4 linked regions of the Oryctolagus cuniculus genome follow. The protein of the gene in region 1 interacts with the protein of each later gene in a pairwise test. Links are inferred from orthologs where the notes say so. Each region holds a gene or a part of one and is shown in the gene's direction. Other genes may lie near its edges. The genes, in order: PPCDC, FOXR1, NTAQ1 and TXN2.

What was found.
Region 2: the proteins of PPCDC (region 1) and FOXR1 interact in binary tests that used the Homo sapiens proteins (3 or more experiments, as listed by UniProt). The two-hybrid records come from large-scale screens. The link is inferred for Oryctolagus cuniculus from reciprocal best matches to the Homo sapiens genes PPCDC and FOXR1.
Region 3: the proteins of PPCDC (region 1) and NTAQ1 interact in binary tests that used the Homo sapiens proteins (3 or more experiments, as listed by UniProt). The two-hybrid records come from large-scale screens. The link is inferred for Oryctolagus cuniculus from reciprocal best matches to the Homo sapiens genes PPCDC and NTAQ1.
Region 4: the proteins of PPCDC (region 1) and TXN2 interact in binary tests that used the Homo sapiens proteins (3 or more experiments, as listed by UniProt). The two-hybrid records come from large-scale screens. The link is inferred for Oryctolagus cuniculus from reciprocal best matches to the Homo sapiens genes PPCDC and TXN2.

What each region holds. Positions count from the first base shown.
Region 1 is NC_091443.1:108,737,198-108,744,444, reverse strand, and holds the end of PPCDC (phosphopantothenoylcysteine decarboxylase), read left to right. Parts: intron 1-1,792; coding exon 1,793-1,888; intron 1,889-2,540; coding exon 2,541-2,669; intron 2,670-3,074; exon of another isoform or gene 3,075-4,878; intron 4,879-5,401; coding exon 5,402-5,570; intron 5,571-5,881; coding exon 5,882-5,967; 3' UTR 5,968-6,389; downstream 6,390-7,247. UniProt on the Homo sapiens protein: Catalyzes the decarboxylation of the cysteine moiety of 4-phosphopantothenoylcysteine to form 4'-phosphopantotheine and this reaction forms part of the biosynthesis of coenzyme A.
Region 2 is NC_091432.1:111,302,514-111,310,342, reverse strand, and holds the start of FOXR1 (forkhead box protein R1), read left to right. Parts: upstream 1-2,520; 5' UTR 2,521-2,867; coding exon 2,868-2,928; intron 2,929-7,829. UniProt on the Homo sapiens protein: Transcription factor which acts as both an activator and a repressor.
Region 3 is NC_091437.1:149,129,113-149,137,020, forward strand, and holds the start of NTAQ1 (protein N-terminal glutamine amidohydrolase), read left to right. Parts: upstream 1-2,910; 5' UTR 2,911-3,034; coding exon 3,035-3,126; intron 3,127-7,908. Other genes in the region: ATAD2 (ATPase family AAA domain-containing protein 2), read right to left, coding at 1,311-1,417, 1,811-1,923, 2,193-2,233. UniProt on the Homo sapiens protein: Mediates the side-chain deamidation of N-terminal glutamine residues to glutamate, an important step in N-end rule pathway of protein degradation.
Region 4 is NC_091442.1:113,721,904-113,729,580, reverse strand, and holds the start of TXN2 (thioredoxin, mitochondrial), read left to right. Parts: upstream 1-3,377; 5' UTR 3,378-3,528; intron 3,529-4,125; 5' UTR 4,126-4,137; coding exon 4,138-4,400; intron 4,401-7,612; coding exon 7,613-7,677.

The sequences.
Region 1 (7,247 bases):
TTTCTCAGCTGCTCCCAGCTCGCAGCGTTTCCCTTTCTCGCCTGTCTGGTGCCGTCTGATCCCATCTGTCCCCTTCCTTCTCCCGCAAATGAGTTTGCCTCACGCTGTCCTTTTCTGTCCTCTTCTCTTTGTTCTGCAGTGTTTGTATCTTTCTTAGAAATTACTTTCACAAGGGCCTCTCAAAAAGTTTGCAGGAAAATGGAATTAAAAGGTCAGTTGGGGGGCGGGCATTTGGCACAGCGCTTTAGGCACCCGTTAGGATGCCCACGTCCCACACAGCAGTGTCTGGGCTCAGTGCTGACTCCACTCCTGACCCAGCCTCCTGCTAGTGCGCACCCTGGGAGGCAGCGTGGTGGCTCAGGTGGTTGGGCCCCTGCCATCCACGTGGGATCTGGATGGAGTTCCAGACACCCAGATTTGGTGGGGCCCAGCCCCAGCTGTTTTGGGCATTTGGGGAGTGAACCAGTGGGTGGAGGATCTCTGTTTCTGCCTCTCTTCTCTCTGCCTTTCAAATAAATGACTTAGTGTAGAGACAAAGCCTTGCTCCTGCGTCCTATCGAAGGCTGTGCACGGATCCCCTGTGGTGTCTGCTGCTTCCCTCCTCCCACCTTGTTGGGCGGATAGAATTTTCTTCTGCTAGTTTGGAAGTTAGATGCTCCTCTCTAGGTGATTGTGCCCCACACTTGACCTTGTGTCTTTCCCCACGGGGAAGATGAGACCCACGGCAGTGCCCTGTGCCGCGGCCTCTCTGGGGCTGGGTGCTGCAGAGGCGTTTCGCTCAGGGCTGGACGAGGCTTGTTGGGGCTGTGCGCGGCCATGCCAGCACTCTGAGGGGCTTGGTTTAAAGGGCCCCTCCCCGACGTCCCTGAGGTTTGTACAAGGCCTGTGGAGGGAAGACGCTCGTGGGAGTGAGGTGGAGAATGGATGGGTCACCTCCTGCACTGCTTCCTCCCAGACTTCTGCTTCCTGCTCCCAGGTGCTGTCCAGAGCTCGCTGACCGCTCAGGCCTGGAGCTGAGTTGGCACAGGCATGGCACGCCCCAGCCGCGAGGCCGCCCTTGCTCAGTGCCCCCAGGTCAGCGAGTAGGGAAATGGGGCCAGCAGCCCTCAGGCTGTCAGCCTTTCATGGGAGCCAGGAAGTTCAGTTTTCTACATGAAGCCTTCCAATCTGTGTTGGCTCAAAACAGGTCCCCAGCGTGACTGTACGCCCACTGCTCTGCTCCTGGGCGGGCGTCCCCTCCCGACACGCTGGGGACACGCTGGGGACACACTTTCCTTCTCCCTTCCCCTCCCAGCCTGGTAGTCTGACCGCACGTCTCACACACGCAGACGCTGCCCCGTGCTGTGTGGGCGATTTATGAGTAAACGATGGGCGTGTGGAGGCCGCTGAGAGCAGGCCCCCTTCCCAGGATTCCTTGTTCCTAGAAGCACCCAGAGGCCTCTGCTGCTTTCTCACTGGGGCTGGGGTGTGACTGCGGGGCCAGACCAGCTCCCAGTGCCTTGCCTGTAGAGGGCAGGGCTGCCATGTGCTGGACTCGGACCCCGTGAGGCCACCGCAGTGGCTTGAGCTTTCTCCCTGTCACCAGCCTGCTCCGCCTGCCAGCCACTGTGCCCGGGCAGCGGGGCCTGCTGCTCCCTGAGCACTGGATGGTGGGCACGGGTGCACCTGGGAGGGCCTGACCTCGGGTGACAGATGCGGGCTGGCTGCTGTTGCAGCCCTCTGCCCCGACGGCCCCCAGGCCTGCGGGTCTGACGGTTTCTCCCCTCCTTCCTCCGCTGGTGCTTGGTGACAGCTGGAAGTTGCAGTGGTCACAACTGAGAGAGCCAAACACTTCTACAGCCCCCAGGACGTGGCCGTCGCCCTCTACAGCGACGCTGACGAGTGGGAGGTCAGTGCGGGTGCGTTCCCACCAGCAGGGGCAGGACAGCCCTCCCTGCAACTGGGCTGGGCTCCCGTCAGCGGTCAGGGCCATCTGGGCAGAGACGGCGAGGAAAACATCTGTCCGGCTGCTGGCCTGCGGGCGGAGCTCAGCCTGGCCAGGTGCCCGGGGTCGAGTGTCCTTGTACTTATCTGGCCTGGTGAAGCCACAGAGCCGCTCTGTTCCCACCACCCTGGTCCACGTGGCTCCTGGCGTCAGCGCCTCACTTCCCACGGCCGCCGGGCCCATTCACCAGACGCCGAGCAGGGCCTCCCAGGGGTGCCCTGCCAGGCGATTTTAAACATTCTCAGCCCAGAACATTTCTGGCTGGCCTGCCTCCCCCACCCCGCCCTGGGGCCCTTCTGCTGGCTTGGACAGCCCAAGCATCCGCCTCCAGCCCGGCGGGAGATCCCTGCCAGATGTCAGCGCTCTGGAAAACCAAGCCATAGAGGGAATGGCTGGGAGACAAGGGGCATTTGTCTCTTAGGGCCTGGCTTCTCTCAGGCCCCGCTTAGCTGTGGGAGGGATGCGGGCCCCTGACCTACTGTGCCTGGCCCCTCTCCCCGACACACACGCTGAGAGAGTGGCCATCTCGGTGACCCCGCCCCCTTCCCTCGGCCAGATGTGGAAGCAGCGCTGTGACCCTGTGCTGCACATTGACCTGCGGAGGTGGGCCGACCTCATGCTGGTGGCCCCGCTGGACGCCAACACCCTGGGGAAGGTGGCCAGCGGCATCTGTGACAACTTGCTTGTGAGTGACCTCCCGTGCCCTCCCCTCTGCCCGGGCCTGCTAAGCTGCAGACTTCTGGTGCAAGGAGCCTCTTCCGTGGGCCGGGGCCTGCCTCACTGTCTGTGCAGCAAGTGGTCCCGGGGTCCCTGGAGGGGCTGCACCTTAGCACTCAGCCCTGCCTGGGCTGCCCCTGCCCTGCGCTGCCGCTGGGCTCCCTGCCTGGCCCACAGCCTCCCCGTCAGCTCTGGACACGCATGAGGCCGAGCTGAGAGGGGGTGGACTTCCGCAGGGGTCTCTCGTGCACAGTGAGGCCGAGACACGGTGTTCCCGTCTGTTAGGGGGAGCTTAGCGGGAGCAGCAGACGGCAGGTGGGGGGAGCTGGCAGGCATCCAGCCGTGCAGAGCGGGTGCTGTCTGGGACCTGCAGCCTCCCGGGAGCTGGCGTCCTGGGAGCTGCCCTTGCTTCTGTGGTCGTCCTGGAAGATCTGAGTGCGAGCTCTCCCCTGCCGTGAGACACGGCACTCACGATCGGAAGGCACGCTCACCCGCGCCCCAGCCAGCAGTACGGTCCTGCCAGGCCCTGTCGGGCACCCTGGTGTTGTGCGGGCGTGGGAGGCGAGTAGTGACTCCACTTTCACAGACAGCCCGCAGTTCTGAGCTCGATTTGGGAAAGAACGGGAGTCGTGACGCGGAGGCGGGGCTTGGGGTCAGATGCACGGTTTGTGTCCTTGCCCGCTTGCCAGTGGGCTCTGCAGTGTCAACCTCGTCTGAGGCAGGGCTTGGGGCGAGCAGGGCGCCCACGCCGTGTGCTGCAGGAGAGCTGGCCCCTGGAGGCCACGCCGTGTGCTGCAGGAGAGCTGGCCCCTGGAGGCCACGCCGTGTGCTGCAGGAGAGCTGGCCCCTGGAGGCCACGCCGTGTGCTGCAGGACAGCTGGCCTCGGAGGCACCAGGAGCGCTTCCTGGCGGGGCTGCTCCTGGGGCCTGCAGGTGAGGCGCCCAGTCCTGCTCATCACAGAGGGGTCAGCGTGTGTGACCAGCCTGACCCACAAGTCCCAGGCCTCCCACTGGCTGTCCAGCTGCCTCCCGTATGACAAAGCTCGCTGACCTCAAGGACCTCTCCCTTCCTTTTTCCTTCAAAGCTGCTGCCACCCCTGAACTCAGGACACCCCCCCCCAAGCTGGCAGGCACGAGGCTCACGAAGCTTGAACTGGTGTCCTCGCTCAGTGGCACTCACCGCATGCCCCCCGCAGGGCCCCCCGCCTGCTGTCTCCCTCCCCACCTCTTCTCCCTTCCAGTCCAGACCCTGGGATGCCAGGGGAGCCTGCTAGGAGTGGGCCTGTGCCCCTTGCCTCCGTGTCTGCCTTCTGGCCCATGCAGGCCCCGGCCTGTCCTGTGCCACACAAGCAGGCAGATCTAGAGAGAGGAGGTGACTTCCCAGCATGGAACATGCAGCTGGGAGCGGGCTGTTGGCTGAACACCAGCCCTTTGGTGTCTGGTTGGATTCCTGGGTGCAGAACCAGAGGCGCAGGACACAGATAGGAGTGGCCGTGTGAGCCAGTGACTTCCTCTCCTCCCTCCTGCTGCCAGTGGGTGACAGGCAGGGTGGCAGGCAGGTGGCTCAGAGGAGCCGTGGGCTGCCCAGGAAGTGCTGCTGTCCAAGGTGAGGTAGGGAGAGCTTGCTGTGCTGGGCTTTGAAGAGGGCACCTAGGAGCCTCCACTCAGCCCCCCACCCCACAGCGCTAGGGCAGCAGCAGGTGGCTGGGGCCAGGAGGAAGTGCAACCGAAACCGGCCACTCACAGCCCAGCTGCCGTGTTGCCAGCACTGGGTGGGAAACCGACGCTGTGTCTGAGATGACGCAGGCAGTAGGTCTGGGGCTGTGTGGGACAGAACTTCCTTCCTGTCCCCAGGGGAGGGCAAGGGCACCTAGGGCAGCTGTGGTCCTGGCCTGTTGGTAGCATTCCCAGATGGGCCGCACTGCAGGGGGGGTTTCATGTCCAGGGAGGAGGCGCCTGCAGCCGTTGGTGCCTGGGGGAGCCCGCTCCCTCCTGGGGCAGCCCCCGGCCCAGGGAGCCTGTGTCTGGCAACCACAGGAACTGCTTGAGGGCCGGGGCCTCGCGCCAGCCCTTGCTGTGAGCCCTGACAGCCTCTCGCCCGCAGGCCTTGCAGCTACACAGGAAGGACTCTGAGGGAGGGGCTGCGCCCCCCAGCCCGTGAGAGGAGGCACAGCCAGGTCTCTGTGAGCTGCTGGGGTCTGGCTTCGGGGGGCAGTGGGGTTTTGCAGGGTGGTGGAGGAGGGCAGAGGAGCACAGGGTCGCCTTCAGCGCTCGCCTGTCAGGGAGCTGCAGCTTGCCCGGCTGCGGTGGGGCAGCTCCTCTGTGAGGGTCGCGGTGAGGGTTCGGAGGGAAGTGTGAGTGTCTGAGAAGGTTCTTGGCAGCGCCAGGTGGCCTAGAAGCAGAGCTGATGCAGGCAGTCTGCTCCAGAGGAGGTGTGAGCCCAGGGCTCAGGCTCAGGCTGGGGCACAGGGAGCCTTCCTGCAGAGGACAGGGGGCCTGCCTGGAGGGGGCCGGGCCGCTGGCAGTATTGCCCGAGCACCTCCTGTGGGGGGCCAGGGGGCCCGCCAGCCAGCTAGCTAGCTGCCTGCCGATAGGCTGCACCGGGCCCCTGCAGCCTGGGGCTGCACTGCTGGTGCAGGGCCTAGAGGACGGGGTGGGTGGCGGCAGACCTGCAGGACCCCCGCCCCGCCTCCTTCACAGACCTGTGTCATCCGGGCCTGGGACCGCAGCAAGCCCCTGCTCTTCTGCCCGGCAATGAACACGGCCATGTGGGAGCACCCAATCACCGCCCAGCAGGTGGACCAGCTCAAGGCCTTCGGCTACATCGAGATCCCCTGCGTGGCAAAGAAGCTGGTGTGTGGAGACCAAGGTGGGCGTCTCACCAGCCTCACAGCCTGGCCGCAGAAGGGCTTGTGATGGTGGCAAAATCGCCCCCCTCACTGGACCTTGGGAGTCGCCAGAGTGGTCGGGATGAACGTCACGGGCAGGGCCTGGTGGAGTCCCTGGCACGCAGCCCCATCCCAGGGCCTGTGCTGTGCTGTCCAGGAAGGATTCCAGGGGTGGCTTAGGCAAACGCACTGGCCTGGCCTTGGGCTCTGGGTAGGGTACCTGGCGGAACCCTGGGAGGGGCTGTGGGCCCCATCTGGCAAGTCCTTGGCCATAGCAGAACTTTGCTCCCAGGTCTGGGGGCCATGGCGGAGGTGGAGACCATTGTGGACAAAGTGAGAGAAACCCTGTCCCAGCACGATGGCGTCCAGCACGGTTGAACTGGGGTTTCCGTGCCGTGTGGCCTCTTCTCCTGGCCGAGCTGCGAAGGAGGGAGGCGTCCACCCTTGGTGAAGAGGCCCATGTTTGCTGAGCAGGGCTCTGACCTGGGCCTGCCCTGGAGCTGCCCCAGGCACTGGCCTGCTCCTGGCTACACTGCATCAGAGGCTTTGGGCCTGGCTTCTCCCAGAGGACGCCTGCTGCCTGCAGCCCCTTCTGCCTGTTCCCAGAGTGGTGCCGTGATGGTGGCTGTGTTGTCCCTGTGCTCCTGGGCGCAGGACTCAGTGACAGGAGACCTGGAGGTCCTGGCGGGGTGGGTCACTTGCCTAAGTGCCCACCGGCAGGACGTGGTGTCCACTGACCGTGCTGTGAACCTGGGGTGCTGGGAATAAACAGTGACCTTCTTGGGAAGGGTCTGGGCTGACGCTGGCTGGCCGATGCTCCTTCGTCCCGTCCCCTGCTCGAGTCAGTGCGCCCTGCTGGCCCCGACTGGCTCTTCTCCCTCGCCGTCCTACGCTCGTGGAGGTGTGGGGAGGACCGAGGGAGAGAAAATGCGTGGAGTACAGCAGCCCCCTGCCCCGCCCCAGCGCCTGCCTGGAGCCTCGAGGCCTGAACCCCTCATGCTGTTTCCTCCTGGACCCACATTGCTTTCTGCAAGCACAGGTGAGCGGCCAGCGGGGCTGGACCTGCCTGGGCCCCCGGTGCCTGTGTGTGTGGTCTCCTCTGCTGTCCTGCTCCTGAGACGGGGCTGGGTGTCTGGGCCCCTTCCCCCCAGCTCACATAAATGGGGAGGAGGCCCCAGCGAGACCACAGCCCCTGCTGCCCTGCATCTGAGCTCACGGCTGTTTGGCTGTACTGTGCAGTCGGGAGCTGGGGTTGGGGCTGGCTTCCAGATCAGACATGGGGGATACCCCGTCCCGTCCCAAGAGCCCCGAGACTGGAGCTGCCTCCAGAGCCGCCAGGACACCACTGGCCAGGACCAAGGCCTCCGCTACCTCCAGCAGCTCTCCCCTCTACGGCACCTGACAGGATGAGTGGTGCTGTGGGATAGAATTGCCTTCAGGCATGGAAGAAGACAGAACTAACGTGTAGCATAAAGCCCCTCTGGAGGCCGGTGTTGTGGTACAGTGAGCTAGGTGTGCCCGTGACGCCAGCATCCCCTGTGAGAGCGCGGGCTCCAGTCCTGGCTGCTCAGCCCCTGATCCAGCTCCCTGCTGATGCCCTTGGGAAGGCGACAGAAGTGGACACAGTGCTTGGGCCCCAGCCGCCCACATGGGAGACC
Region 2 (7,829 bases), on another chromosome or scaffold:
TTTGAAAGACAGAGTTACAGAGAGAGGTAGAGACAGAAAGGTCTTCCATCAACTGGTTCATTCCCAAAATGGCTGCCAACAGCCAGAACTGAGTTGATCCTAAGCCAGGAGCCAGGAGCTTCCTCTGGGTCTCCCACGTGGGTGCAGGGGCCCAAGGACCTGGGTCATCTTGTTGTACTTGAGTGAGTGCAGAGGAGCACCACACACTGATAAGATATGGTGGTCCTTTATTGCCAGAGGGGGAGAACAGGCTCATGCCCTAAAGAATTCTCAAGCCCGGAGCCCAAAGGAACAGGGTTTATAAAGGTAAAAACCACAAAAACAGGAGGGGGGGATACATGGTTGCTAGGATGGGGAGGTGGGGAATACAAGGTTACTGGGGTCAATCTAACCTAAAGCCTATGTGAAACTAATACCAATTGTAATCTTAACAATATCAGTTACAATCTTAACAATTTCAATTAGGTTCTTGACATTAATCCAGGTATTGGCCTAAATCATATTGAAGTAACACCTTGACAGCAGGGACTCCATTTTGGAGCACCTGAGACTCCATCTTGACTCCATCTTGAGAAAGCACCCCCCAATGTGAGACTCTGGTCTGAAACTATGACCTAAAACAGACAGTAGCAGTCCATGACATCACACTAGGCAGAGCAGAGAGACCCCCTCGCATGCTCGCTTAAGATTAAAAACAGATAGGCTACCCCTGGGTTAATGAGAAGACTGTAATTTGTCTATGTCCTACATACGATTTAGGCCAATACCTGGATTAATGTCAAGAACCTAATTGAAATTATTAAGATTGCAACTGGTACTGTTAAGATTATAATTGGTATTAGTTTCACATAGGTTTTAGGTTAGCTTGACCCCGGTAACCATGTGTTCCCCCTCCCCTCCTTGTGGTTTTTGCCTTTATAAACCCTGTTGCTTTAAGCTTCAGGGTCAAGAGTTCTTTAGGGCGTGAGCATGCTCTCCATCAACAGCAATGAAGAACCATCAATTTTATCAATGTGTGGTGCCCTTCTGTTTTCACTTGCTCAGGTATAACAACATGTAGGGCAGGGACGAATTACAGTCTTATCAGTAACCCAGGTGCAGCCTGTTTTTTGTTTTTAAGATTTATTTATTTATTTGAAAGGCAGAGTGAGAGAGAGAGAGAGAGAGAGAGAAAGAGAAAAAGACAGAAAGTCTTCCATCCGCTGGCTCATTCCCCAAATGGCCACAACAGCCAGAGATGGGCCAATCCAAGGCCTGGAGCCAGGAGCCAGAGCCTCTTCTGGGTCTCCCAAGAGAGGGCAGCAGGCCTGGGGCATCCTCCACTCCTTTCCCAGCCCACAGCAGAGAGCTGGATGTGAAGTGGAGCATCTAGGACATGAACTGGCACCCATATGGGATGCTGGCACTGGCCTCACCTGCTAGGCCACAGTGGTGGCCCCACCTATCTGTCTTCAATCTTGAGCGAGCATGCGAGGGGGTTTCTATGCTTTGCCTAGTGTGATGCAGTGGACTGCTACTGCTTGAGTATTTTAGGGCATAGTTTCAGACCAGAGTCTCATGGAGGGGGTCGGGGGGGGTGCTCCAAAATAGAGTCCCTGATGTCAAGGTGTTACTTCAATCTTCTACTGCTTTCCCAGGCACATCAGCAGGGAGCTGATCAGAAGTGGAGCAGCTGGGACATGAACTGGCACCCATATGGGATTCTGATGCTGCAGGCTGGGGATTTAACCTACTGCGCCACAGCACTGGCCCCACATAAAAGGCACTGTTGGGACAATTGGCAAAATTTGAATAAGATCTGTATACTGATTATAGAACTGCATCAAAGCTAAATTTTCTGATTTAGATACTTTTCTTATTTTTTATTATGTAAGCCAATATCCTTATTTTTGGGAAATACTGAAGTATTTATGGGTAAAAGTGCATGATATCTCCAAATTACTCTCAAAAAGCTAAGAAAAAAATACCTGTGTCATATGTATAAAAATTAAAAATGACAAATGTCAATTGGTAAATCTGGGAAATGGGTAAACAGGAATTTTCTTATAGCTTTTTTGGCATTTTTCTGTAAACTTAAAATTAAGGGGGCCACTGCTGTGGTGTAGCAGGTAAAGCCGTTGCCTGCAGTTTCACATCCCATTTGGGCACCATTTTGAGTTCTGGCTGCTCCACTTGCAATCCAGCTCTCTGCTGTGGTCTAGGAAAGCAGTAGATCCAAGTTCTTGGGCCCCTGCAAGCAGCTCTTGGCTTCTGGCTTCAGATCAGCCCAGCTCTGGCCGTTTCAGCCATTTAGGGAGTGAACCAGCAGATGGAAGACTTCCTCTCTCTGCCTCTCTGTAACTCTTTTAAGTAAATAAATAAATCTTTTTAAAATGCGATAAAATAATTAAGAACAAAATTAAGTCACCATTGAGTCTAATCCTATCTCCACCATCTGCTACGGAGGTGATTTTAGATAAGCCATAAAAACCCATCAGAAGTTCTAGAAGGCGGCTATAAATAGTGGGGGAGGGGAGGGCCACGACGCCTTTTAAACAAAATAACTGCACAAAAGCACAGATGGGGAGACTCTGTGGGACCCCTCCCTGAGGTTCCCAAGCCCCCAAACTCGACGGCCGCGGGCGAGGGCAGGCTCCCTCCGAGATTAGAGGCGTCAAACGAGGACTGGCACACCTGCGCTGCCTCCCTCCTAATTCTATCGGAGCGAGGGTACTTGAAGCCCTCGGAGGCCCACCCGCAGTCTCTCCCGGCTCACCCCCTGCGCGGCTGGGCGCGCCGCGCTCTCCCTAAAGGTGGACCTCAAACTCCAGCAGCTCGACGTCTGGGCCAGCCTCCATGGCCAGGTCCCGGGACTGCTCGACTGGGACATGGGGAACGAGGCCTTTCTGGCCTTCACCACATCGCATCTGCCCGTGGCCGAGCAGAACCGTGAGTGCCGGGCCTGGGGGAGGGGCGTGCGGCGGGCCGGGCGCGGGTCGCGGCGGGGCCAGGCGGCTCCCCGCACCCCGCGCCCGCGCCGGGGCCTGGTTGGCGGGGGCGCCGCGGTGTGTGTGCCCCTGCCCCGCGCGCGCGCCTTTCGACTGGAAGCCCCCGGAGGACAGCCGGTCTCGCCGACCTTGGCGCCTTCCTCTCCGCGCCCGGAACGTTCTAGGGCTCCGCCGAGCCGCCTCTCCTTGCTCGCTCATTGGCTCCTCGGCGGCGCCATTTGGAGCGCTGTAGGCTCGCCTTGTTTTTCTCTCTTAAAAAAAAAAAAAAAAAGGAAGGAACGGTGTTGTTTGTTTGCATCTCCACCTCTTGATGCAGACTTGTGCAGGGCTTGCTTAGGGGACGGTTGGCCGTCGCCTTGTTGTTTTCTCCTCCCCTTTGACCCTCCACAGTTGAGAGCCGAGGTAATTATTCCAAAATTCGCGGCACCTGTTTGCCAGCGCGGCCGCTAAAGCCTTGGGTTGACTCTGCCCATTTCCCCTCCGTGTTGGGATCCCAATCTTTTGATTGTCTTCCCAGCTCCCACGGTTTTCCGGAGCTCTTTGTGTTGCTAGATGCAGGGTTGGTTGGTTATTTCCTGCAGTTGGGTAGCCGCCTATGGTCCACGTGTGTTCCCTTCTGCGCTGTCACTGTCCTGACACCTAAACCCTCCCCAGCTGTTTGCCATGGTGGGTAATGCCACAGGACGTTCCTGTGTGTTCCCTCATTCAGGGCCTCGCCTTGGCCTGCCACTGTCCTGGACGCTGGGTGCACCGGGAATGGAGGGGCGAGCCGGCACAGGCTGCTGTCTCCTGGGGCAGGCAGACAGTGCCTGGAGGAGCGGGTTATGTCCTATGTCTAACCTGTAATGGGAAAGGAAACATGGGATGGCACGGTTGGAGGTGCTCCCAGCTGTGGTGTTGCAGGGTCGTGTAGACCTCCACTGGGAACAGGATACTTGAGCAAGGAGTTGAAGGGGATGAAAGCCGTCCTGCTCCATGCCAGCGTCCTCGGGTGTTTGGGGAGCTGCAGAGAGGCCAGTGAGGCTGCATCCAGGCCATTGCCGAGCTCACGGGCTGTGGGTGCAGAGGCGTTTGTCTGCTGTGTCAGGACTTCAGTATTGACTTCACGTGAGGCACGGCTGGGAGGTTTGAAGCAGACAAATGATGTGACCTGGGGCCCCTCTCGTGAGCCTGCTGCCCACTATGTCACTGCGGTCTTGTCTTTCTGGTGTGAGCAAGGAGCCCCATGGTTTCACTTTGCATCGGGCCCTACAAATGACAACCCTGGTTTGACAAGATGTTCAGTCTGGAAGGATCCCCGTGGCTGCCAGCTGGAGGGTGTGCTGTCTGTGGGGGGAGAGAATGGCAGACCAGGTGGGGAGGGGCGAAGGCGGCCACAGTTGCTGGTGGATTGGATGCCTGGTGGAAGGAAGAGATCCTAGAGTGGCTGTCTGAAGCTCTTGGTGCATCAGGTGAAAGTCTGGCACTGCTAGAAGTGTTGAGTAGGCGGTTGGACCTAAGGGCCTGGTGTTCTGGGAAGAGGTGAGGACTGCAAGATGTAAATTTCCAAGCTTTGGAATATGGGTGGGGTTTGAGGAGTGAGGCCGGGAGGGCCAAGGATGAACCCAGGGGCATTGCATTATAAAAAAGATTAGGGAGAAGAGATAAGTAGGAAAAAATAAAGACCAGTGAGAACCAAAGCTATGGGACTGGTGTCCGGGAAACCATTCTAGGGAGGGTTCAAGGAGGGGAGAGACTAGTGGCTGATTTAGCATTCTGGAAGTCCCTGATGACCTTGGGGGGGGGGGGGGTGTAGAATGGAAAGCTGATCAAAGAGCTTTAGGGATGGAAAGAGAGAGGCTGGAACTCTCTAAATAAATAAATAAATAAAGGAATGGGAGGAGGGGCAGTGAAGATGAAAAGTATAAATTCTTCTTTCAAGGAATTCTGTCTCAAAATAGTGGTGGCCAGGTTCAGAAAGTGGGGGCCAACAAGTTCTTTTTAGTCACACGGGAGAATTAACAGCACATTTGGGTGCTGGTGAGAATAGCAACATTAAGGACACAGGAAAGAGGGAGGGTTCCTGGGACGTTGTCCCTGAGGGCACAGGGAATCTGCTGGCCAGAAAGACAGAGGCTCTCTCCTCGGATCCTGCTGAGGTCTCCGGTCCGCCGGCTTTCCTCCCTGTTCTGTGGCTTTCAAACAGAACCCTGATTAGGTTCAGCCCTGCCAAACAAGTGCTCTTAAGTCTTTGGTCCATGGGTCGGTGATCGTGGGAGGTCCTAGTCGGGGTGGGGAGTGAGTTAGCTGGAGAGACAGAAGGTGGCACATTCTTACGTGGTGCACAGACGAGGTTATGGAGAGGCTGCGGTTACTGGTTTAGCTCATGATGGAGAGGGACTACTTTAGTAGTGTGGAAGTGTTCAGGAAACAGCCAGGACTTAGGGCAGGAGTGATGGAGAGGGTGACAGTAAGCCCTTTCAGATGAGGGGGAGTGGCCGAGAGTTTAGTGGAGGACAGTAGCCGAGGAGACTTAAGTTCCCTGTAACAGGAGCAGTCTGGGGGGTGGCTGCACTGAGTGCTCCATGTGGGGCTGAGTGGCTGACAGCCGGAAGTGCAGGGTGATCAGGGGTTCTGTTTTCTTCATGATTCTTGTTAATCTGATTGATGTGAAGTGTTGTATTTTATTTTTTAATTGCTAATAAGGTTGAACATCTTTTAGCCACTCGGTACCCCTCTTTAGGAATGCTGATTTTTTTTTCTCACTTGTAAATTTGTTGATCTTTTATTTAAGGATTTGTGGGAACTCTGCATGTTAGAGAACTTTGGGTTGAATTTTTTCCCTAGTTTATTGTCACTTGTCTTCCCCCTTGGCTTATGGTGACTTTTAGTGTGCAGAAATTCTAATTTTTTTAAAGATTAATTTCGGGGCTGGCATTGTGGCAGGGCAGTTAGGCTGCCACTTGCAATGCCAGCATCCCATTTCAGGGTGCCTGGGATCTCTCTCTCTGTCACTCTGCCTTTCAAATAAATTAATTATAAAAAGAATTAAAAATGATCTTAAAAATTTATTTTTAGAGAGATTTTTCCATCTGTTCGTTCATTCCCCAAATGTCTGCAACAATCTGGGGCTGAGCTGGGCTGAAGTCAGGAGCCAGAAACTCCATCCAGGTCTCCTTCGTGGGTGGCAGGGACCCAAGTACTTGGGTCATCTGTTACTATACCAGGCACGTTAGGAGGGAGCTGGATGGGAAGCAGGGGAGCCGGGACTTGACCTAGCACTCTGATACGGGATGCCAGTGTCCCAAGTGGCAGCCTCCACACCAGCTGTCCATTCATTTTTATGTATTATTAAATGTGCATAAAAATGTATAGGTTGTTGGGGTCGGTGCTGTGGCGCAGTAGGTTAGTCCTCCGCCTGTGGCGCCCCATCCCATATGGACACCGGTTCTATTCCCAGCTGTTCCTCTTGCAACCTAGCTCTCTGCTGTGGCCTGGGAAAGCAGGTCTTGGGCAAGTCCTTGGGCCCCTGCACCCACGTGGAAGGCTAGGAAGAGGCACCTGGCTCCTGGCTTCGGATGGGCATGGCTGCTGCCATCTGGGGAGTGAACCAATGGAAGGAAGACCTTTCTCTCTGTCTCTCCCTCTCACTGTCTGTAACTCTGCCTCTCAAATAAATAAATAAAATCTTTTTAAAAATGTATAGGTAGCCGGCGCCGTGGCTCAATAGGCTAATCCTCCACCTTGCGGCGCCGGCACACCGGGTTCTAGTCCCGGTCGGGGCGCCGGATTCTGTCCCGGTTGCCCCTCTTCCAGGCCAGCTCTCTGCTATGGCCAGGGAGTGCAGTGGAGGATGGCCCAGGTGCTTGGGCCCTGCACCCCATGGGAGACCAGGAAAAAGCACCTGGATCCTGGCTCCTGCCATCGGATCAGCGCGGTGCGCCGGCTGCAGCGGCGGCCATTGGAGGGTGAACCAACGGCAAGGGAAGACCTTTCTCTCTCTGTCTCTCTCTCTCACTGTCCACTCTGCCTATCAAAAATAAAAAAAATAAAAAAATTAAAAAATGTATAGGTTGATTTGAAAGGTAACTGACATCTTTATTGTCTTTGTTTATTCAAATCTGTTATGTCATTAAATACTAATTAGATTTTCCCCCATTCTTTCATGGGTTAACTCCTATCTACTTATATATTTTTTAAAGATTTGTTTATTTGTAAGGTAGAGTTACAGAGAGAGGAGAGAAAAGGAGGAGAGACAGAGATCTTCCATCCTCTGGTTCACTCCCCAAATGGCTGCAACAGCCAGAGCTGGGCCGATCTGAAGCCAGGAGCCAGGAGCTTCATCTGGGTCTCCCACATGGGTTCAGGGGCCCGAGGACTTGGGCCATTTTCCACTGCTTTCCCAGGAGCATCAACAGGAAGCTGGATCGGAAGTGGAGCAGCCTAGACTTAACTGGCACAAATATGGGATGCTGGCACTGCAGGTGATGGCTTAACCCACTCTGCCACAGCACCAGCCCCTGGTTCTTACTGTAAATGCTACGGTTTTAATGCTGTTATGGAAGAACAGTATCAATTACTATGTTGTTGTATTCAGCAAACGCACTTTGTTGGTTCTAGTGATTTGTATATATTTGAAAGACAGAGAGGGCTCCCCTCTATTGCTTCACTCCCTAAATGCCCACAATGGCCAGGGGACAGAAGCCAAAGTCCAGAGTTGGGAACACAGTCCAGGTCTCCCACGTGGGTAGCAGGGGCCCAGATACCTGTCCTCACCTCTGCCCTCAGTCTGCTTCAGCAGGAAGCTGGAGCCGGAATCGAATGCGGGCGTTCTGGTGGGGGACGTGGGCATCTTAATTGCTG
Region 3 (7,908 bases), on another chromosome or scaffold:
AGAGCGGTATCTTTCACCCACTGATTTATTCCCCCAGTGCCCCAGCATCCAGGGCTGGGCCAGGCTGAAGCCAGGAAGCAGGAACTGCATCTGGGTGTCCACATGGGTGGCAGGGACTCAAGTACTTTGGCCATTATGTGCTGCATTCCAGGAGCAGGAGCAGGAAGCTGGATCAGAATCCGGGGCAGGCACTCTGATAAGTGATGTGGGTGTCCCAGGTGGTGGCTAAAATTGCTGCACCACAACACCTGGCTCAGTCCAGCTATCCTTGACAGTACCTATGCTTTACCAGGCACTATGCTAAGTGCTTTGTACAGATCAGTTTATGTTATATGTATTACAATATCGATTAAGTAGGCACTCTACTCTTATCCTCATTTTACAAGGAAACTGATAAACAGAAAGGTTGGTGACTCATCCAAAGTTATACAGGATAAGTGGTCAAGATAGGATTCAAGTCTGTCTTTCTGGCCCTAGCTCTGTTATACTATTCTACTTCCCAAAGCAAAATCCAGGCCCTGAGCAGCTCACGGCAGAGGTAGAGACAGTCAGCTTAAATTACTGATGTTTGATTACTGATGTATGATACTGCTGTTCAAGACATGTGAATAGAAGTTGTGATAAAATGGTGGTGGTGGGGGAAGCTGTGAAAAGATGGAAGGAAACAATTTCTGGAAAAAGCTGCCAATAAGGAAGGCGGAGGAACACATCAGCCCAAGTAGACAGTTACCTTGCACACAGCCTTGGAGTATCTAAGGAAGAGCAAGGCACTCAGTGATGGACATGTGGGGTATGTTGGAAGTCATGAGGGGAGATTATACCAAAAATCATGGTTGCTAGCATTTAGCGTTATGTGCCAGCAACTCTTCTAAGTGCTTCATACACATACATTCAATTAACCAGCATTACCAACCCTAAACCCTATGAGGTAGGTAGTACTATTAATGACTTCATTTTGCAGGTGAGGAAACTGAGGTCCAGCAGGCTGAAGTAACTTCGCTCCAGGTCACACAACTAGGAAACCACTGAACCTACCTAATCTGGCTTTGAAGGCGTATAGCAGTCGGAGTCCAATCATGAGACAAGAAACTACACAGTAGGTAATGCAAGGAAAGTTGAATATAAAGAATTAATGGTGGAAGTATGTGGCTCAGTGGTTACTGCATCACTTCAATGCCCACATCCTAAATGGGAGTACCTGGCTTCAAGTCCCAGGTCAGCTTCCAATTCTAGCTTCCTACTGATGAGCACTGTGGGGGGCAGTAAGTGATGGCTCAAGTACTTGGATCCCTGCTACCCACATGAAATACCTGTATTGGATTCCAGGCTCCTGGTTTCAGTATGGTCCAGTCCTGGCTGTTGCTGGCATTTGGGGAATGTACCAGTTGATGGATGATCTGTTTGTCTTTCAAATAAACTGAAAATAAATTTAAAAAATTAAAAGAAGCATTAATTGTGGTAAATGTGTAACTATTGTAAGGCTACTACAAGATATAAAATCCTATAATCAGGCATAATGAAATTTTCTATGGCTCCAAACCAAGGAAGGTGGGTGTGCTACTAGAAGTTTATCACTCCGGCGATGTTGGAGGCAGTCTGGGGTTGCTGGGAAAGAACAGGCCACCCTGGAAAGGATAGGCAGGCGGGTCACCAGAACCAGCAGTCTGGGGACACACAGAAGGCCTTCGGTGTGCTGGGGGTGGGGAGGAGGGGACCCTGCTGTGTGACTGCTGGCCACTGGGGACAAAGGCTCTGGCTTGAGGGGCTGAAGGAGGAGTATGGCCGGCTGAAAAGGTCACAGAGCACGCACCTTCTGGGCCTGAGGCAGGGCAGACTGCACTGGACGTGACCACACCCGTGGCTGGAATGGAGCCCAGAAACTCCTGGGAGCCTCTTCCTCCCGCAATGGCCCTCCAGCTCTCTCTAAAGGGGAATTCTGTCGGTTGGTTAGTGTTCAGACCCCAGAGGTAACAAATCCAAATCGGACACAAAAGCGCAAAAGTGTTTAAGGGCTTTGGGACACAGATCAGAGAATCTGCCGCGGACGGCCCTGGCCAACCTAACCATTTCAGTTGGATAATGGTAGGATTCTGATCAGCTGTCCCAGTATAGGTCTGTTGCAAACACAGAGTGTAAAGTCTAAGTCCTTGAAAGCACACATCCCAGAACCATTCCTTCACCAGAGTTCTCACCGTTTGGCGGCTTTCCTTCCAGACTGCCAGCAAATAAACATGGTTAACACAGAAAGATGATTTTGCAACTTATTTTCTGACTGTATCCAGGGACCAATATATCCTTCCCAGCCAATACATACAGCCCTCCTAATTAAAAAAAAAATGCTACATTTGGGGTGTGATTCCTTCCTAAAACCGTCCTCGCGACGGTCCTACTTGGAATTTACCCTCCACCGCTACCTCTCCCCCGGGCTCCAAACTACAGCGCCCATTTTGACACACAAAGCCTTTCTAATGGCAGTCCATCTGGTTCCTCCACAGCCCAGCGGGCAACGCCAGCCCAGCCACTCAGGGCCCCGGGGTTCACCAACTCCAGACTCTCCCCTAACTCCTCCCTCAGGCCGCTCGCCGCGGACCCTCTCGCCCAGGATTCTCGTCGTCCCCGCCTCACCCCGCACGCCGACCACGCCCCAGAGCCCGCCCCCCGGAAGCCTGGGCGCCAGCTCTTCCCGCCCCCACTCCCCTCCCCACCGTCTCCGCCTACCCGGAACCACGCAGCCGTCTGCGACCCGGGTCCGCCCACTTCTCCCTGGCTCCACCCTCTCGAAAATCCAGCGTCGTCCTCCCCCGAGCTCCGCCCACTCAGTCCGGACCTTCGCGCGCTGGCAACTTGAGCCGCTTGCCCCGCCCAGGCTCCGCCCACCCCGCCCAGGCTCCGCCACCCGGAAACTGCCCTGGCCGCCTCAGGCTCCACCTACTCCGCTCCGGGAGCGGGCGCTGTGGGCTGCGCGCCGGCTGCTTGCAGCGATTGGCCCACTCGGGCCGCCTCCTGCCCGGGCCGCGGCCCAAGCTAGCCCGCCATGGAGGCGGGGGACTGCCCTGCCGCCGCCGCCGCCTGCTACCAGCCGGCCGGCCCTCCGCGGGACGCCTGTGTCTACAGCAGCTGCTACTGGTGAGGGGGCGCGGACGCAACCCCCGGAACCCCGGAGCGGCGCGGCCCCGCCTCGTTCCGGCCCCTCTCCGGCGGGGTTCGCTGGTTTGCGGGAGGAGGGAGCGTGAATGGCAGGCTTGGTCTCTGGAGTAGAGCTGCGGAGTGCGAAAGGCCAGGCTCGCTGCCTCTGCCCGGCGCCTCTCACCGGACAGGCGTGGCGGAGCTCAGTGCCTGGCGCAGACGCGGGGGGCTGCAGCTCAGAGCTCTGGAAGTTACTCTGCTGACGCCTGCGCGCTGCGGGGCCTAACTTTGGAAAATGGTCGCGGTACAGAGAGTTCGAGGGATTTCTTCTTGAGGTCCTCCAGCTGACAGCCGCTGGGAGTCCGGCTCAGGCTCCTCCGGCGCCGGAACCCACGGTCTTGTTACCGCTCAGCTGTCATTACAGTTAACGTCGGTGACGTGTGCACGGCACCCTGCGTGGTTTTGGGAACAAGCACAGGAACCCCCAGGAGGAGGGCGCTCTAGTTTATCCCCAGACGGAAGAAGCGCAGAGCGGGGCAGGTCATTTGCCTAAAGGGGAATGCGGGTGTCCTGGCGGAGGCTGGCTGTGGGCTCCGGGCACTGCGCCCCGGCCGCCTCTGCAGCTGCAGCACCACCCGCCCGCCCTGTTCATCTCTCACCTTTCTCCCCCTACCCCCCAACCCCGTCTTCCAGTTGCTGACCCTCAGGACCCTCTAAACTACTCCCTAGCCCCTAGCTGGTCGTCTGACTGTTGCTACTGACGGCTTGCCTTTTGTTCCACTCCGGCTGCGTGTCAGGCCCGGTGGCAAGAGCTTCCGTCCATCCCTAGGAAATAGGTTCTACGATTACCATTAGCCCCCCTTTGCTGGTGAGACTGAGCCATCGGGACACTGTTTGCAAGCGGTGGTGGTGCAGCTGGAGCCGCCTGTGTGGTGCTGGAGCCCGCGCGTCTTACCCGCTGCACTCTGTTTCTTCCCTGCCGCTCCTAGATCTCTGTGTTCTCATCCCTACCGTGCATGCATTGCTCCATTCATTCATTCAGTAAACGTTTACTGGGCCTTGGAGTGCGTGATGCATGAATCCAGGCACAGAGGACATAGCAGTGAACAGACTTAAATCCTCCGGTGAGATCTCGTGATTCTTACGTTTCGATGGAGGGAGAACAGTTGAAAACAAGTAAACCATGTTTGCATGGTATTAGAAAAATAAGACAAGGTAGGGGGTGATGATTTATGCTGTCTTATATTAGGATATTTAGGGACATTGCCCATAAAGTGGTTTGAACAGAGGTCTGAAGAAACAGAGGGTAGGAGCTTTGTGGGTACAGGACAAAGTTGATCTCAGACAGAACAGCAGGCGGAAATGTACCCAGAAGGAAGTGTGCTGTGAGCGTTCTGGGACTGTCAAGAAGGCTGGTGCAGATCAGTGTCTCTTTTTAAAAATTTTTTTGGTTAACTTGTAACACATGTTCATTGGTATGGGGTACCATGTAGTATTTTTTTAAGATTTAATTTTTAAATTTTTATTGATTTTTTAAAAGATTTTATTTATTTCTTTGAGAGGTAGAGTTACAGAGAGAAGGAGGGAGAGACAGAGCAAATGGTCTTCCGTCCACTGGTTCACTCCCCAAATGGCTGCAATAGCTGGAGCTGGGCCGATCCAAAGCCAGGAGCCAGGAGCTTCTTTCAGGGCTCCCACGTGAGTGCAGTGGCCCAAGCAGCTGGGCCATCTTCTGCTTTCCCAGGCCATAGTGTAGTCTCATAGTGTCAGGCAGTAGCTTTACCCACTAAGCCACAGTGCTAGCTCCTACACTTCTTTTTTTTTTTTTTTTTAAACTTATTTATTACTTATTAGAAAGGTAGAGTTACAGAGAGGAAGGTCTTCATCTGCTGGTTCACTCTCCAAATGGATGCAGAGGCCAGGGCTGGGCCATGAGACTGGAGCTTCCCCTGGGTCTCCCATATAAGTGCAGGGGCCCAAGCACTTGGGCCGTCTTCCGCTGCTTTCTCAGGCACATCAGCTGGGAGCTGGATCAGAAGAGGAGTAGCTGGGACTAGAACCGGAGTCCATATGGGATGCTGGTGCCACAGGTGGAGGCTTAGCCCACTGCACCCAGCGCCAGCCCATTAGATCAATGTGTCTTTAATAGATCATTTCCTTGAGTTCCTTTAGCCAGAGGCCTGGCCCTTCTCGGCTGTCATGGAGGCTATTCTAGTTGCTTCCTACCAGGCCTTTCAGGCAGACCTCCCCTACCTCAAGTCTTTAACCTTGCTTGGCTCCAGAACCTGCAGATGGGAGGGTGCCACCTCATAAGGCTTGAGTGAGTAAGCAGCATGGTTGGAGAGTACGAGGGCTGGTCTGTTGATTACATTTCAAGGAAGGCAGGCATGGACAATAAAGTGCATCTCCTGAACATAGCAAGCTCTCCAGGGTCTGGTCACTGTTCTTCCAGCCTCATGTTGAACCTGCCATCTGAGCTGTGCTCCAGGGTCCCTCCTTAATATTGGCTCTGTTGAGATTTGGGGCATGATAATTCTTGGCTGTGGGGGCTCTCCTGGGTATTGCAGGATGTGTAGCAGCATCCCTGGCCTTCACGTGTTAGATGCTCTTGGTACCTTCTCCCCAGCTGCCACAACCAAGAATGTCTCGATATTACTGTGTGTCCCTCTGGTTAGAAACCAATACTCTGCCCTGTCTGCACACCTAAGTACTTTTCACTTTTGCTCCTGTAGGTTCTTTTTTTTTAATCAGGATACTGGTGTTAGAGGCAGTGACTTTACCCACTAAGCCACAATGCCAGCCCCTACACTTTTTTTTTTTTTTTTTTTTTTTTTAAGATTTATTTTTTATTTGAAAGGCAGAGTTACAGAGAGAGGAGGAGAAACAGAGAGAGGTCTTCCACTAGTTCACTCTCCAAATGGCCGCAAAGGCCAGGACTGGGCTGTGCTGAAGCCAGGAGCTTCCCCTGTATCTCCCTTATGGGTGTAGGGGCCCAAGCACTTGGGACATCCTCCGCTGCTTTCCCAGGCACATCAGCAGGGACCTGGATTGGAAGTGAAGCAGCTGGGACTTGAACCAGCGCCTATAAGGGATGCTGGCACCGCAGGCAGAGGCCTAACCTGCTACACCACAATGCTAACCCCATCCTACAGGTTCTTCTAACTTGAAATAGAAGCCTCCTCTACACTTCTGGTATAGTTTTTTGAAATTCATGTGTAGTCACGGCCTTAAAACAGTTCATAGAAAATGCTTATGAAAAACATTGCATGGATTTAAAAATTTTTTTGCACCAAAAATAATTTTACACTTTAGTTCCATTTTTCCACAGACTTTTTTGAAGTACTTGTCATGGCAGCCAGTATTTGTATGGGATGATGTAGCTTGCAGAGCATTTCTGATTCTGTTTTAATTGTTCTGTATTTCGGGGCTGTCGTTGTGGTGCAGAAGGTTAAGCTGCCTCCTGCGATACTGGCATCTCATATGGGTACGAGTTTGGGTCTGTTGCTCTATTTCCAATCCAGCTCCCTGCTAATGCACCCAGGAAAGCAGCAGATGATGGCCCAAGTCCTTGGGCCCCTACATCCATGTGGAAGACTTGGAAGAAGTTTTGGGCTCCTGGCTTCAGCCTGGTCCAGCCCCGGCCTATTAGGGAGTGAACCAGCAAAGGTAAAATCTCTCTCCCTCCCCCTCCCCCTCCCTTCCCTTTCCCCTCCCTTTCCCCCTCCCCCTCCCTTTCCTCCTCTCCCTACCTCCCCCCTCCCCTTCTCTCTCTGTAACTCTGCCTTTCAAATAAAAAAAAATGATCTGTATTTTTTTTGACAGGCAGAGTTAGACAGTGAGAGAGAGAGAGAGACAGAGAGAAAGGTCTTCCTTCTGTTGGTTCACCCACCAAATGGCCACTATGGCCAGCACTGTGCGGGTCCAAAGCCAGGAGCCAGGTGCTTCCTCCTGGTCTCCCATGCAGGTGCAGGGCCCAAGCACTTGGGCCATCCTCCACTGCACTCCCAGGCCACAGCAGAGAGCTGGACTGGAAGAGGAGCAACCGGGACAGAATCCGGTGCCCCAACCGGGACTAGAACCTGGGGTACTGGCGCTGCAGGCGGAGGATTAGCCTAGTGAGCCATGGCGCCGGCCAATTGTTCTGTATTTTGCAAGCATTTGTGGAAAAGCTTCTGGATGCCAGGGTTCCCGCCTCCTCCCCACTTGCTTTTCTGTCCTCAGCCTGTAACCACTATAGTCTCATTCATTGTGCTATTCTGTCAGCTCTTCTGCTACAGAAATGATTGACTGACAGTTGGGGGACATTATCACCTGCCCTTTTATTTGAAAGTCTGCTACAGAGAGAGAAGAAGAGACAGAGACAGAGAGAGATCTTCCATCTGCTGGTTCATTCCCCAGGGGCAGGGAGAAAAAGGGAGGGACATTGTGGTTAGTGGATTATTTTTATTCAACTAAATAAAAAATAAATCTTTTTTAAAAAATATTTATTTTTTTTAAAGGCAGAGTTACAGAGAGCATTCCCCAGATTGCCGCAATGGTCGGAGCTGGGCTGAGCTAAAGCCAGGAGCCAGGAACTTCTTCTGGGTCTCTCTGGGGGGTGCAGGGGCCCAAGGACTTGGGCCATCTTCTACTGCTTTCCCAGGCCATAGCAGAGAGCTGGATTGGAAGTTGAGCAGCCAGAACTCGAACCAGCTCCCATGTGGGATGCTGGCACTACAGGAGGCGGCTTTACCTGCTACACCACAGCTCTAGCCCCTACTCCACTTCTGATCCAGCTCCCTG
Region 4 (7,677 bases), on another chromosome or scaffold:
CGCGCATCGCCTCTCGCACATACGCGGTCACGGTCGGGCTGCCGAACGGGCCGCGGGAGCCACAGCGCCACCGTGCGGCGGCGGCTCCGTCCACCGAGTCTGAACCTGCACTGGCTGGCCTGCCGGCGGGGGAGCTGGCAGGAGAGGCCGCAAGGTGGGGCCCGGGCCCTGGGCTGGGGGTGCACAGCGCCTTCCCACTAGCTGGGTGACCTGGACGAGCTCCTTAACCTCTGTTAAGAGGCTCTCGCAGTAACAGGGAGACTGTAACTCGCAGCCTCACCGGGCTGTAGGAGCCACAGTGGCCCCCCGCGCGGCGCTGGAACCGAGCCGGGCTCGCTGACTCTTCCAGTAAACCAGCAGCTTTGGGGTCCTTTGTATCCCAGCTTAGGCCACGCAGACACGAGAGCGACAGATGCTTCCCCAGGCCCTACTCTGACAGCGGACCCTGATGTTTCCAATTCTGCTCTGTGTTTTGCAAAGCTGATTGCAACTCACTAAACTGATCTTGCAAATCCACGATGGCTCACATCCCACTTCTGAAAAACTCTGCAACGAATACCGGCAAGAGGGCGTGGTAGGCGCTTTACCCTCGGCCCAAGATGCCCGCCCTTGGTCTCACACCTGTGCTCCGGCCACACCCAGGCCAGGTCCGCTCTGGCTGGCTGAGGGCCGTCTCACCGACTCTCCCCCTGCAGGAGGGATGAGGCACTGAAGACACAGCCTCTCCACCCAGCAAGCACTGTTCTCCCCATTCCTCAGACAAGAAGCCTGAGGCCAGCAGAGGCGAAATGACCACAGGCTAAGGACAGACGGGCCCGGTCTTCCCTTGGAACCCAGGACGTGAATCCAGCAGGGGAACTGGCTCTGCAGAAGGTGCTCCAGAGCCGGCGCCGTGGCTCAATAGGCTAATCCTCCACCTTGCGGCGCCGGCACACCGGGTTCTAGTCCCGGTCAGGGCGCCGGATTCTGTCCCGGTTGCCCCTCTTCCAGGCCAGCTCTCTGCTGTGGCCAGGGAGTGCAGTGGAGGATGGCCCAAGTGCTTGGGCCCTGCACCCCATGGGAGACCAGGAAAAAGTACCTGGATCCTGGCTCCTGCCATCGGATCAGCACGGTGCGCCGGCTGCAGTGGCGGCCATTGGAGGGTGAACCAACAGCAAAAGGAAGACCTTTCTCTCTCTGTCTCTCTCTCTCACTGTCCACTCTGCCTGTCAAAAAAAAAAAAAAAAAAAAAAAAAAAAAAAAAAAAAAAGAAGGTGCTCCAGAGGGTGGGTGGGTGGCTGTGGCACAGGAAGTTCCAGAGACACAGAAAAGTGGGTCTGAAAACGAGCCGGCAGCAGCAGCCCCGTCAGGGAGGCACCAGGGGCCTGGCAGTCCCACCCCGGGCTCCAGTGTGGGGGTCAGGCAGCGCGGAGGGGCCCCGTTCCGTCCAGCCCTGCCAGCCGTGGCCAAGTCACCCTGTCAAGAGGAAGGTCGACATGGCGGCTGGCAGCCTGTTCCAAGGATCCCCCACCCCCACCCCATCCCGCTAGGAGAGCTCTCTGCAGAGAACTGGGAAACCTGCCCGTTGGACGGGGGACAAATACTAGCACGACGTGGCCAAGCTGCGCTGCAAGAAACACAGAGGGCACAATAGGGCCATGCCACGTGACGGGGAAAACGGGATTTGCAGCCAGAAGATTCTATCTGGGTCACTGCTCTCTGTTCATGAGCACCTACCATGAGGCATCAGGCCCCGCGGCCTGATGGAGAGGGGGCAACGCAGACAGAGACGGACCGGAGAGGGCTCGCAGAATAAAGAAACAGACAAGAGCAAGGCGGCCCAAGCGCATGACTGGCAGAGGCTCGGAGGAGAGTCCTGGCGCAGCAGGGAGGGTGCCCCTGGGATGCCTGTTTGCAGTCCCAGCCCCTCCGCTCCTGTTCCAGCTCCCTGCTAATGAGCGCACGGAGGCTTTAGATGATGGCTCAAGTCCTGGCGTCCCTGCCACCCTGGACTGGGTTCTGGGCTCCTGACTTTGGCCTGGCCCAGCCCTGGCAGTCTGGGGGTTGGGGGAGTGAGTCAGCAGATGGAGGCTTCCCTGTGTCTGATTCTCTGCCTGCCTAATAAAATGCAACTAAATCGACGCACGAACGTGCTCACGGCCGCCGAGAGGGCTCACCAGGCTCACTCCTGGCCTGGCTGCGGGAGCACTTTCTCTGGCAGACAGCAGAGGGAGAAGCCAGGGCGGGGCTGGGAGAGACATTTCTGTCAACTCGGGAACTCACTCACACCCCCAGGCTGTTGAAATGGAGGTCAAGACAGCCTTGCTAGGCAGGGCAATAGAAATCAGTCTGTAGGGGCTGCGCTGTGGCGTAGCGGGTAAAGCCGCTGCCTGCAGTGCGGGCATCCCATGGGGGCACCGGGTCAGGTCCCGGCTGCTCCACTTCCCATCCAGCTCTCTGCTATGGCCTGGGATAGCAGTAGAAGATGGCCCAAGTCCTTGGACCCCGGCACCTGCGTAGGAGACCGGGAGGAAGCTCCTGGCTCCTGGCTTCAGATCGGCACAGCTCTGACCATTGCGGCCATTTGGGGAGTGAGCCAGCAGAGAGAAGACCTCTCTCTCTGTCTCTACCTCTCTCTGTCTCTACCTCTCAAATAAATGACTAAAATCTTTTAAAAAGAGAGATTCATCCATTTGAAAGGCAGCCTCAGAAAGAGAGGGAGACAGAGAGATCTTCCATCTGCTGGCTCTTCTGAATAAGCCGCTCTGGCTTTGGCTCGACACTCCCGCTCTTTCCTGACAGGTGTGACGCAAAGCAAACAGGCCATCGCTGCGTCCACAGGATTCTACGAGGCCCCGCGTGGCCGCACTGCCAGGCGCCGTGTGCAGGGGAGAGGAGAAGGCTGTGCCACCGGCCCGAGACAAGACAGCGGCCACGGCGAGAAGGGAAGGCCTCGGGCCTCGGGCCCAGCTCGCCCTGGTCACCTGGGGCCTGAGGCAGGCACGCGCCAGGGCTCCGGTCCCCAGCGACGCCCCCGGGGGCAGGGTGACCCGCTGTGCGTCACAGGCCAGGGACACAGAGCGGCCCCCAGACCGCCAGGGAAGTAGCTTGGTACCAAGCCTTTGAGGATGTCAGCCGAGGGAAAGAACCCTGCAGCACCTGCAGGAGTCACTGGGAGGAGCCACTGGCAGACGAAGAGCAGCGGCCATTACCGCAGCAAGAACCCGGAACCACGCCCCCCGTCTCGGTAACCCCGCCCCTTCCGCTCCCTCTTCCGGTCCCTCCGCTAGGGCGCACCGCCCCTTCCGGTCCCATCGCACCCGCGGTTCATCCTCCCCTTCCGGTGTGTCGCGGAAGCTCCGCCTCCTGGGGTGTGCCTTCTTCCGCTATTCCCATTGGCGGAAAATCCAAACAGCCAGCGACGCCCTCCAGGTTGCCCGTTCCAGGAAGTGACGATAGGCAGGCCCGCCCCTGAGGAAGTGACGTCTGAGTGCCCTTGACGGGCGGGGAGGGCTGGGCTGCGCATCCCTCCTCTCGCGCTGTAGGGAGGTAAGCGGCTGGGATGGCCCGAGGTGGGGTCGCGTCTGCGGCTCTCTGCGGGCGCGCTCCCGCGCAGGCCCGGGCCGCGGGGGGACCTGGCCTTGCGGAGAGCTGGGGTCCCAGGCGGCGTCCCGTTTCTCCCAGTTCCCCCCGGACACGTGTGCCTTGTATTTTGGTTCCCTCCACACTCCGACCCTTGTGTCTCTTGGTTCCTCCTGGAATGGCTGAGGTTCCCCGTTTCTGAGCCTACGCGCATCCCTGTCCCTGTGTGCGTTCTTCATCTCCCTCCGAAACGCTTTGTAGAGGAGCGAGGCGCAGAGGCGGCCTTGGGGCCCCGCGTGGACTGCCCTTGGGCGGCCGGGGTCCCGGGCGTGGCCGCAGCTGACCTGCGAGGACCAGGGATGTGTGACAGGCACTTGGCCCGTCGCGGGGCTCTGCAGACACTGGGTCCTCCCTCCGTCCTGGGAATCCCGCCCAAGCCCTTTGGCGGCGGTCAGCCCGGGTCGCCTGGGCCCTCCTTCGTGCCGCGGCCCCTCTGCCCCAGAAGTCTCCGCTGTGATCTCATGGCGGTCGGCCTCCCCATGGGTCTGTTACTGTGTGCCCCAGCTTCCCTTACAGATGGCTCAGCGACTTCTCCTGAGGAGGTTCCTGGCTGCCGCCGCCTCCAGGAAGCCCGCCCAGAGTCGGTGGGCACCGCTCGCCTTCAGCGCGGCGCGGACCCCGCCGTGCGGCCCCGGTGGCCACACAGGGACACCCAGCCCGGCCCGGACGCTGCACGCCACCGGAGTGCTGGCCACGACCTTTAACATCCAGGATGGATCCGACTTTCAGGACCGAGTCGTCAACAGCGAGACGCCAGTGGTTGTGGATTTCCACGCACAGTGAGTAGGGGCGGCAGTCAGCTTGAGACAGGACTGGGCTCACTCGGGCATTCCCCGAGCGCCCGCCGGGGCCCAGGGTCGGGATGGGCGTTTGACACACAGAGAGTGGTGAGCGTGGACGCCCCGCCTCCCCGAGGGGGGTCTGCAGGGCTGACCGTGGCCGCAGTCAGTGCTGGGGGAGCATTTGTGTTCCCTCCGCACCAGGTGGAAAGCCCAGAGTCCCCCTTGGAGAGAGCACCGGGGTCGGCGCTGTGGCGGAGCAGGTTAAGCCTCTGTCTAAGGCACTGGCATCCCCTATGGGCGCCGGTTCGAGTCCCGGCTGCTCCACTTCCGATCCAGCTCCCTGCTGTGGCCTGGGAAGGCAGAGGATGGCCAGAGTGCTTGGGCCCCTGCACCCACATGGGAGACCCTCAGGAAACTCCTGGCTCCTGGCTTCAGATCGGCCCAGCCATTTGGGGAGTGAACCAGCAGGTGGAAGACCTCTCTGTCTGTCACTCTGCCTCTCAAAATAAATAAATAAATCGTTAAAAAAAAAAATAGAGATTTTCCACGCCACCACAGTGGTGCCCACGCATGTAGGGGAGGGCAAGCTTTTCTCCAGCACTGTACGAGTTGGTTTGGATACTTAAAGGCCAGCGGCTTTGCGATTTCTTCTAACCTGGCCTCCATTTCCAGTCTCTTGGGTCCTGCCTAGATGCCAGACCCCTGAGGACGAGGCCTCCCGGGGAGCCGGTGTGCTGTGGGCTGAGTCAGGAGGTGGGAGACCGGGCAGAGTCGCTGACAGCTTCTGAAGCTGCCTATACAGCTCCCTCTGACTCGCCGTGGCCTGGAGCAGCCCACCCCCTGTCCTGGGGCAGCCCACTCCCTGTCCTGGGGCGGCCCACTCCCTGTCCTGGAGCAGCCCACTCCCTGTCCTGGGGCAGCCCACTCCCTGTCCTGGGGCGGCCCACCCCCTGTCCTGGAGCAGCCCACTCCCTGTCCTGGGGCGGCCCACTCCCTGTCCTGGGGCAGCCCCCTCCCTGTCCTGGGGCGGCCCACTCCGTGTCCTGGGGCGGCCCACTCCCTGTCCTGGAGCAGCCCACCCCGTGTCCTGGGGCGGCCCACTCCCTGTCCTGGGGCGGCCCACTCCCTGTCCTGGGGCGGCCCACTCCCTGTCCTGGGGCGGCCCACCCCGTGTCCTGGGGCAGCCCACTCCCTGTCCTGGGGCGGCCCACTCCCTGTCCTGGGGCGGCCCACTCCCTGTCCTGGAGCAGCCCACTCCCTGTCCTGGGGCGGCCCACTCCCTGTCCTGGGGCGGCCCACTCCCTGTCCTGGAGCAGCCCACTCCCTGTCCTGGGGCGGCCCACTCCCTGTCCTGGGGCGGCCCACTCCCTGTCCTGGAGCAGCCCACTCCGTGTCCTGGGGCGGCCCACTCCCTGTCCTGGAGCAGCCCCCTCCCTGTCCTGGGGCGGCCCACTCCCTGTCCTGGGGCGGCCCACTCCCTGTCCTGGAGCAGCCCACTCCGTGTCCTGGGGCGGCCCACTCCCTGTCCTGGGGCGGCCCACTCCCTGTCCTGGGGCGGCCCACTCCCTGTCCTGGGGCGGCCCACTCCCTGTCCTGGGGCGGCCCACCCCGTGTCCTGGGGCGGCCCACTCCCTGTCCTGGGGCGGCCCACCCCGTGTCCTGGGGCAGCCCCCTCCCTGTCCTGGGGCAGCCCACTCCCTGTCCTGGGGCGGCCCACTCCCTGTCCTGGGGCGGCCCACTCCCTGTCCTGGGGCGGCCCACTCCGTGTCCTGGGGCGGCCCACTCCGTGTCCTGGGGCGGCCCACCCCGTGTCCTGGGGCGGCCCACTCCCTGTCCTGGGGCGGCCCCCTCCCTGTCCTGGGGCGGCCCACTCCGTGTCCTGGGGCTCCCTCCTTGCTTGGGGAGGAGCTGAGGCCTTGCTGTGGGCTCTAGGGGCTCCGAGGTCATCGGCTGAATCTCTGAATGGAAAAGGCTTTTCTGTTTTTTTTTTTTTTTTCCCCTGTTTTGTTTTTAGTTTGAGGAGGAAGGACACAGAGCTCAATCTTCCGCCCTCTTGTTCACTCCCAAATGCCGGCCACAGCGGGGGCTGGGCGAGACCATGGCCAGGAGCCAGGAGCTCCATGCAGCCCTCCCACGGACTTGAGCCGCCACCTGCTGCCTCCCAGGGTGCGCGCGCGCGAGCAGGAAGCTGGTGTCCGGACTGGAGATGGGGCCCGAACCCCGGCGTTGTGCGGGGCGCACACGTCCCCCTCGGCGTCCTAACCCGCTTCCCCCATTGGGACTTTCCCTAATGCCTGTGGGCCTCGGTTTTGGGGGGCTCTTTGTGGTGTCAGCAGATTTGAGGAGTCTGCAGGAAGAGCAGAGGAGGTGCAGCAGTGGGCCTGGAACCCTGTGGACGCCCGGCCATCGCTGCCCCTGCCTTCAGCCCGCAGTCCACAGGGCGCTGGAAGCAGCTGCAGGCCCCAGAGGCCGTTTAAGATGGCCGATTTCTCCTAACAGCCGGAGGGGCACGGCCTGCCTTCTCATAAGGGCTTTAGGGGGCACAGCCTGCCTTCTCGTAGGGCTTTAGGGGGCACGGGCTGCCGTTTGCAGTTGAGGAAGCAGGCCCAGCTGCTGGATGAGGAGCCTCTCTGTGAACACAGACTTTTTAACGTGTCTCCAACAGCGTGTGCATTGAGACCCAGATCCCCCCTGACTTCCGGTGGCCTTAGCTGCCAGCAAGGCCACTGTGCGTTGAGAATGTCGAGTCGGACACACATCGAGGGTGCCTGGGTCCGGCCTGGCTCGGCAGCACGGGGCGTGTCGGGCATCTTCCTTGTGGCCGAGGGGCTGACCGGAGCCGCGCGCGCTGCCAGTGCCCAGCACCACGGCGCCCAGTCACGTGTCTCTAGCCCAGGAAGGGTCAGGGTTCAGAGTGTGGCTCCTACATATATGTGTGCCCTGTGCGCCGTCGCGAAGTCGGGCCGTCGGCTTGAACCACTCTGGGCGAATCACCGCGGGCGTCCTAGGATGCAGCCGTGTCCCGGGGTCTGCAGAGCCTCTGGCATTGCTGTTCGGTGTGTCAACACGCCAGGTTAATGTTCAAACACTAGCACAGAGGATAGGGAAGGGCAGAGGTCCCTGGGGAAGATGGGGTCGGGCGGTTCGGGGGAGGCGGGAGGGGTGGAGGGCCCTGCACTCTGGTGACCGCGTGCTGCTTACCTTCCGAGGTGGTGCGGCCCCTGCAAGATCCTGGGGCCACGGTTAGAGAAGATGGTGGCCAAGCAGCAGGGGA